Ovis aries: one gene and its partner. The protein of the gene in region 1 interacts with the protein of each later gene in a pairwise test. Links are inferred from orthologs where the notes say so. Each region holds a gene or a part of one and is shown on either strand. Other genes may lie near its edges.

Region 1 (3,559 bases):
TGCACCAGGAGATCCTGCTTTGGAACAGAGTTCGTCTGTAACAATGGCTTGTGTATCCCCAACCACTTCAGGTGAATTGGGGATTAAAAAACTTATTAACAAACCTTAAATGTCCATGAGGCAGGGCTGGGGCCCATGATACTTTTCATGGCCTCTGAAAATGTTTGGACTTCTTTTAAAATCAAAAGAAAAAAAATAAAGAGAACTTCAAAGAAAATATTTACATACTAAATAATAATATATATGGCTTTATACCAACGTAGTCCTTAAATATAATTTTAAATATTTTTATGGAGGAAGGGGCCCATGAAAACAGAAGTGCCTGGGGTCCATGAAGGTCATAACGTGACCTTGCACAGAAGATCAGAGAGATGAGTGAAGTGGGCTTAGTAGAAGAAAATTCTTTCTTGAGGCAGCTGACGCTCAGGGTTTGCCACCTGGAATAGAGGCATGGGCGTAAGAAATACTTCATTCAATTCTTTCTGCTATAAGAAAAGTACCAGTGAGCAGGATGATAAATGGGGCTGCATGCTGTGGCTCAGGGTCAGCCTGACAACAGAGAGAGGCAGGTGAGGTACACTGTGGGTGTGTGCTCCAGCTAAGAGACACAGACACCAGTCAGCATCATGTGTTTGGAGAGAAACTGGGGATCTGGATTTTCACCTGAAATATTCTGATTTTAAGTGGTACTGGGTCTCATGACACAGGTGTGACCGGAACAATGACTGTGGTGACTACAGTGATGAGAGGGGCTGTGTGTACCCTACCTGCGGCGAGACCCTTTTTACGTGTCAGAACGGACTCTGCATTAATAAGGCCTATGTCTGTGATGGGGACAATGACTGTAGAGATAACTCTGATGAGCTGGAGCACCTCTGTCACACCCCAGAGACCACATGTCCCCCTCATCAGTTCAGGTGTGACAATGGGAACTGCATTGAGATGGTGAAAGTCTGTAACCACTTCCCTGACTGCTTAGACAGCAGTGATGAGAAAGGATGTGGTGAGTATAATGGAAAATTAGGGAAAAGGAAATGGGGGGACTGAACGTGGATTCTCAACCCTTTCTGACTTAGTAGGACCTTTCAGTTGGTTCTCTAAGTAGCACACTGCCAGAAAATTACTGCTGTTTGTCTATGAAGAAGCAAGGATTTCTTGGTCTATAAGGTCGGTCACACACATTTTTCGACTAATCATCAGTTAGTCATTCATTGTAGAGAATAGGAGATAAACAAATTAAGGCCATCTATCTAAGAGCAGACAGTGGTGATCATGCAATGACTTGTTGCTTTAACTGCCCCTCCTACATTCCTTAATCTGTTCTTAATTTTCATCCTGAGGTGACTAAAGGGGAAGGTTTAACTGGAAGTCCCCCTCCCACCGTGCCCCTAACCCCACCCTGGTTGTACTAGTTGTTAAAACTATTGGTGAAGGATCCAGGAAGGAAGTTGAGTAAGAGTGACTTTTGAATAATGTAGGGCCTTTAGAAATCCCTTTTTATGTCCCTGTTTATTTGTCTTTTTTAGCATGATTCATTAAGAACTTCAGTTCAGTTCAGTTCAGTTGCTCAGTCGTGTCCGACTCTTTGCGACCCCATGAATCGCAGCACACCAGGCCTCCCTGGCCATCACCAACTCCCAGAGTTCACTCAGACTCACGTCCATCGAGTCCGTGATGCCATCCAGCCATCTCATCCTCTGTCGTCCCCTTCTCCTCCTGCCCCCAATCTCTCCCAGCATCAGAGTGTTTTCCAATGAGTCAACTCTTCGCCTGAGGTGGCCACAGTACTGGAGTTTCAGCTTTAGCATCATCCTTCCAAAGAAATCCCAGGGCTGATCTCCTTCAGAATGGACTGGTTGGATCTCCTTGCAGTCCAAGGGACTCTCAAGAGTCTTCTCTTAACACCACAGTTCGAACGCATCAATTCTTCAGCACTCAGCCTTCTTCACAGTCCAACTCTCACATCCAACATGACCACAGGAAAAACCAACCATAGCCTTGACTAGACGGACCTTTGTTGGCAAAGTAATGTCTCTGCTTTTGAATATGCTATCTAGGTTGGTCATAACTTTTCTTCCAAGGAGTAAGCATCTTTTAATTTCATGGGTGCAGTCACCATCTACAGTGATTTTGGAGCCCAAAAATAGTCTGACACTGTTTCCCCATCTATTTGCCATGAAGTGATGGGACCAGATGCCATGATCTTCGTTTTCTGAATGTTGAGCTTTAGGCCAACTTTTTCACTCTCCACTTTCACTTTCACCAAGAGGCTTTTTAGTTCCTCTTCACTTTCTGCCATAAGGGTGGTGTCATCTGCATATGTGAGGTTATTGATATTTCTCCGAGCAATCTTGATTCCAGCTTGTGCTTCTTCCAGTCCACCGTTTCTCATGATGTACTCTGCATAGAAGTTAAATAAGCAGAGTGACAATATACAGCCTTGACCTACTCCTTTTCCTGTTTGGAACCAGTCTGTTGTTCCATGTCCAGTTCTAACTGTTGCTTAAGAACTTGGCTCGGTCCAAACCCAACCAAAAAAAAGAACTGCATCTGTCCAGCGGGAAGGCTGACTTTTTTGACCATTATGGTGGGTCCATTACTGACAACTTAGGTTCTCTGATAACTGTCTTTTACCTTACAGGCATTAATGAGTGCAATGACCCTACGCTCAGTGGTTGTAACCAAAACTGCACAGACACCTTAACCAGTTTCTATTGTTCTTGTAACCCTGGTTACAAGCTGTTGTCTGACAAGAGGACTTGTGTTGATATTGATGAATGCAAGGAGACGCCCTTCATCTGTAGCCAAAAGTGTGAGAACTTACCTGGCACTTACATCTGCAAATGTGCCCCAGGCTACATCCGTGAGCCAGATGGAAAGACCTGTCGGCAGAACAGCAACATCGAGCCTGATCTCATTTTTAGCAACCGTTACTATTTGAGAAATCTAACTATCTATGACAATTTATACTCCCTCATCTTGCAAGGATTGGGTAATGTTGTGGCATTGGATTTTGACCGAGTAGAAAAGAGATTGTACTGGCTTGATATAGAGAATAAAGTCATTGAGAGAATGTTTGTGAATAAGACAAACAGGGAGACAGTCCTAAAGCACAATCTACCAGGTGCGGAAAGTCTGGCTGTCGACTGGGTTACCAGGTAAGAAAAAAGCTATTTAAAAGTTAACAAGTTTTTGTTTCTGAAAAAGTGTTCTAGCCAGGCTTTCATCTTAATAGGGAATTGATCTTTCCCACTTGGGTTGCCAGGTAGAAACACTTTAATGCTTCGGCATGGTTTGTTTTTGTTGTTGCTGTTTTCTGGTGTGTACCTAATAATCAAATGGGATACCACAAAATCTAAAATCTAGTGACTTTTAAGAATTTATGGTATGAATTTTATGGGGGGGCACATCACAAAGGAAGAAAGAGCTCTGTTATTACTGGAGGTATGTGAAGGGATGATTCATGCTTTGGTTGGTTCAGTCATTTAAAGCTGTTGCCTAAGTGCGATGCTATTCTAGGGACTGGGGTTTGGAGGTAAACAAGACAGACACAGCCCCT
Region 2 (4,076 bases), on another chromosome or scaffold:
AGCGCCCCTGTCCTCGCGGGCAGGAGGGGGCAGGTGGCCGTGGGCACCAGAGCCCCCCACGCCGGGAACCAGGGGGAGCTCTGGGCCTGGGAGCTCACCTGGGCTCCAAGCGTTGTCAGGTGGAGGGTGGTAGGTCGATGCTTGTGAGGCTCCTCTAGGGAAGGGGAGGGGATCAGGGGCTCCGGGGCAGGGGTCTCTGAGCCAGGGCCTCCTCCCTCCTTGCCCTCCCCCTCTCCTTCCTCCTCGTCCTCCTCCTCCTCGTCCTCCTCCTCCTCTTCTTCCTCCTCCTCTTCATTGTCGTCAATCATCTCGAACTCCTGGAAGTCATCCTGGAAGGAGCAGATGGGGTGCGGCTGCTCCGAACGCCCCAGGGCAAGGCTGTCCTGCAGGAAGAAGGACAGGGCAGAGCTGGGCTGCAGCAGGACAGCGGCCTGGGGTCCCAGGTGCCAGGAAAGGTGAAAGCAGGAAGCCACAAGTCAAGGGGGGAAACCTCCCTCCAGACCACTCTGCTCTCCATCAACAGAGCAGTTTTTGATTTTTGCTTTTTTTAAAATCAGCTTAAGATACATAAGGATCTTGGTAAATAAGAGCCCAAACTCCTAAGTCTCAGTGACAGATTCTCAAAGAGGCCCCAACCCACCTGCCAACCTCATCCCACCCTCAAATCCCATCACATTTAACACCAGTACTTTTTCCTTCACAGCATTTTAACACAACTCATAATTAACCGTAGAGTTTGCATCTGTCTCCCCAGCAAGCTGCAAGCCCCACCAGGACAGGGACATGTCCATATTGTACACTGCGGTACCCCGACCCCCACCGAGAACAGGCCCTGGCCCACATAAAAGCTCAGTAAAGATCAAATGAACGCGTGAAGCAAAGAGGCCCAGCACCAGGTTTCACCAGACTTGCACCAACCTCAGGGCCTGCAATCCACTAATCCCCCGCCAGCAATTCCTCTGCTCCATCCCCTCCGGTACACTGCCCTCATCTGCCAGCTCCTGCTAGTCTTCCCTAAGGGCATGGCCCTGCATTTCCACTAGAAAATCTCCCTAATGGCCTCAGTCTCGGGTGGGCCATGTGTCCCCTCATTGGAACCCAGATGCTGAGGCTCAGGCACCCATTGTCTCTCACCTGTCTTCCTCCCCTACTAGGTTATAAGCTCCCAAGGGCAAGAGCCACACCTGTCCTGCTGTCTTCCCAGGCACCTGCAAGCCTCTAGCACTTGCCACACGGGAGTTGCTCAGAAATGTTCTTGAATGAAAACAAAAACGTGAAGAGCCAGGGAGGAGGAGGAGATGGGGGAAGGGGAACTTCAGGGGAGGAGACAGGAGGCTAAGAGAGGCTAGAGAGGTGGGGACAGGACTGAGAAGGAGATGAGATGGCAGCTGGAAGGGGGTAGATCTGAGGCCAGAGGGCCCAAAGCAGAGGCACTTCTTCCCTCCCCAAGTCCAGCCCATGGAGGAAGCCAGGCAGGAACGCTGGGGAAGGTCCTCAGTGGGCCGCTCTTAGGAAGAGAGGGGTCAGGTATCGAGGGGCCCACAAGTCAAGAGGCCAAGGGAGAGGGGGCACTGAGAGGATCCTCTCAAGGCTGAGCTTAGACCCTCCCCAGAGACCGCTGAGCAAAAGCTAAGTGAGGCTCTCCTGTGAGAGAGTTCTCTGCCCCAGCCCTCTCCCCACCTTCTCGCAGTGGTCCGAGTCATAGCTGAGGCCCAGACCGCAGTCATCAGTGATCTCAGACAGATCTTCATCGTCAAATTCCTCCAGGCTTATGTCCTGAGGAGGCCTGGAGAGGAGAGCAAGGACAGGGCTCCTGAGAGAGCCGTCAGTCCTGGACTCCCTGTCTGAGAGCTGGTCCTAAGGAGGGGCCAAGGGAGCCCCCCACCCCAGCTCCTCGACCCCACGATCTCCAGAGCCCCCAACTCCCACACAGGCATCCTGCCATTATCCTGAAGCTTAAGCCCTGCTCTCCAGGGCATTTCCCCCACAACTGGAGCCACCGCCTGCCCTGAGGAAGCACTTGCCCCCAGCCCTCCTCCCAGTCCCCTCATCAGAGCCAGCAGCCTCTCCTCCCACTGCGCTCAGCTCCAGGCCCCTCTGGGTCACAGCCTCAGCCTCAGGGGAGTCAGGCTGAGCCGAGAAGGGGGAGGGGGACTGAAGCTGCAGCAGCTGGGGGAGGGGGAGGGGGAGGGGTCGAGCCTGCTCCGGAGCAGAATTCAGCCCCTCTATCCGCTATTCCTGCCCAAGACCGGCCTACATCCCAAGGTTCAGCCCTTTCCCCACCCTAGTCCCTTCCCCCAGGCTCCAGGCTTGATTGCAATTCTCTTCCCTGAGCCCTGCAGACCAGGCCAGGCCTCCACCAGAGGCCCAGCAAGGCCAAAAAGGACACTGCCAGGCAGAGTGTGTGCTCAGCACCCCGCAGGCAGGCTGCCCCTCAGGCTCGGCCCATGACCTCCGCCTTTGGAGGAGAGGCTCAGGTTGGGTGCAGCACCGGGTCCCGTCAGGAATCTGGGGTGGGGGATGGTCACTGGGGCTGGAGGAGGGTCGTAAGGGGAGGACAAAGTGGAGAGGCCTGGAACCAGGAGTGGGGGATGGGGAGCAAGTGGGCCTCGGGACCTGAGAGGGTCTGGGGCTCCGGCCCCCAAAGGCGTTGGGGGTGGGGTGGCAGGGTCGGGCCGGCGGAGTCTGGGGCGGGGTCAGAGGGGGAGCGGTGGGCAGGGAAGGGCCCGGGCGCCCGAGTGCGTACCTGCAGCCTGGCGGCGACAGCGAGTGGAAGGTGGAAAGAGAAAACATCTCCGCCCGATCCGCCATCTTCTCCGGGGAAAGGCCTGCCGACCGCGGCGGGGGAGGGGTGCCCGGAGCGCCAGCCCCGCGCGCCCTCCGTCGCTCCCGCCCGCCCGTCCTCAGCCCGCCCCCGGTCACCTCGTGACACGCCCTGCGACACCCCGCCGCCAGCACACCTCGACGCCAGGACACCGCGGCAGCGCGAGCCGGGGGCGGGGGGACCGGGAGCAGGGCGGGCCGGGGGAGGGGAGGAGGGCGGGCCGGGGGAGGGCGGAGGGGACGGCGGGGAAGCTGGTTGGAGGAGGCGAGATGGTTTGACTGAGGCTCGGGTTGGAGAGGCGCGTGTGTGGCTTGGTTCTTTGGGGTGGGGGCAGGTGGGAAGCAATCTGGTGGGGATGGGGCATCAGTTCGCGTGGTGAGAGCTTCAGCGAGGAACTGGCGATGGGAAAGTCGATTTGCAGACCCCTGGTTAGCTGGTGTGGGGGTGGGGGGGACGGGGCCTCATGGAGGGGTGGGTGCGGCCCCGGGAGCTGCGCTAACTTCCAGGGAATCAGAGCAGAAGCCTGGGGTTCCCAAGCCCGGATCCGAGTGGTTCAGACTGACAGTGTGGGCTGTGCGCGAACGGGGCCGGAGGAGCTGTCCACGTCTGGGTGCTGACCAGGGCTGGTCGGAGCTGTCCCACAAGGGGTGCTGACTGGCCCACAGAGATGTCTCCCTAAAACGTGCGGCCTGGGGCTGCAGGAGCTGTTTCCCCGCCGAGTGCTGATCAGAGCTGGAGGAGCTGTTCCCCCAGAGGGTGCTGAGCGGTGCTGGACAGAGGCATCTGCCCAAGGGGCGCTGATCCCGTCTGGACAGAGTTTACCACACAGAGGATGTTGACTGGGGCCCACATGGAATTTCAGTACACAGTACAGATTGCGCAGGCTGGATACCAGGTATTGATGGACATCAGGTGAAGTTATAACCCTGAGGCTCTCTTCATTCAATTAGGAAAACTTTCTTGAGCACCAACTAGGTAACCAGCATGTTCTGGCTTTTGTGGAGCTGTGTGTGGAGAGAAATGGTTGACACTCAGCTCAAGGGGTGAGGATCAGCTGGTGCTGCAATGGGGGAAGGACAGGTCGGAGTCGTGAGTATGGTTATTAAAGACAGGTTGGAGGACCAGGTTAGGGAGACTTTACGGAGAAGATTGGGCTATAGAAAGAGGCTGGAGTTTCAACAAGGTTGCAATGAAATCGTTCTTTTCTTTGCCTTGATGGAAATTATGTATCCTGACATTCTTTGTCTAAATT

The links.
Region 2: the proteins of LRP2 (region 1) and MAPK8IP2 interact in a two-hybrid assay, tested with the Homo sapiens proteins (2 studies listed by BioGRID). The link is inferred for Ovis aries from reciprocal best matches to the Homo sapiens genes LRP2 and MAPK8IP2.

What each region holds. Positions count from the first base shown.
Region 1 is NC_056055.1:140,232,257-140,235,815, forward strand, and holds part of LRP2 (low-density lipoprotein receptor-related protein 2), read left to right. Parts: coding exon 1-71; intron 72-707; coding exon 708-1,003; intron 1,004-2,641; coding exon 2,642-3,158; intron 3,159-3,559. UniProt on the Homo sapiens protein: Multiligand endocytic receptor. Acts together with CUBN to mediate endocytosis of high-density lipoproteins. Mediates receptor-mediated uptake of polybasic drugs such as aprotinin, aminoglycosides and polymyxin B.
Region 2 is NC_056056.1:225,848,159-225,852,234, reverse strand, and holds the start of MAPK8IP2 (C-Jun-amino-terminal kinase-interacting protein 2), read right to left. Parts: upstream 2,819-4,076; 5' UTR 2,812-2,818; coding exon 2,747-2,811; intron 1,787-2,746; coding exon 1,681-1,786; intron 384-1,680; coding exon 99-383; intron 1-98. UniProt on the Homo sapiens protein: The JNK-interacting protein (JIP) group of scaffold proteins selectively mediates JNK signaling by aggregating specific components of the MAPK cascade to form a functional JNK signaling module.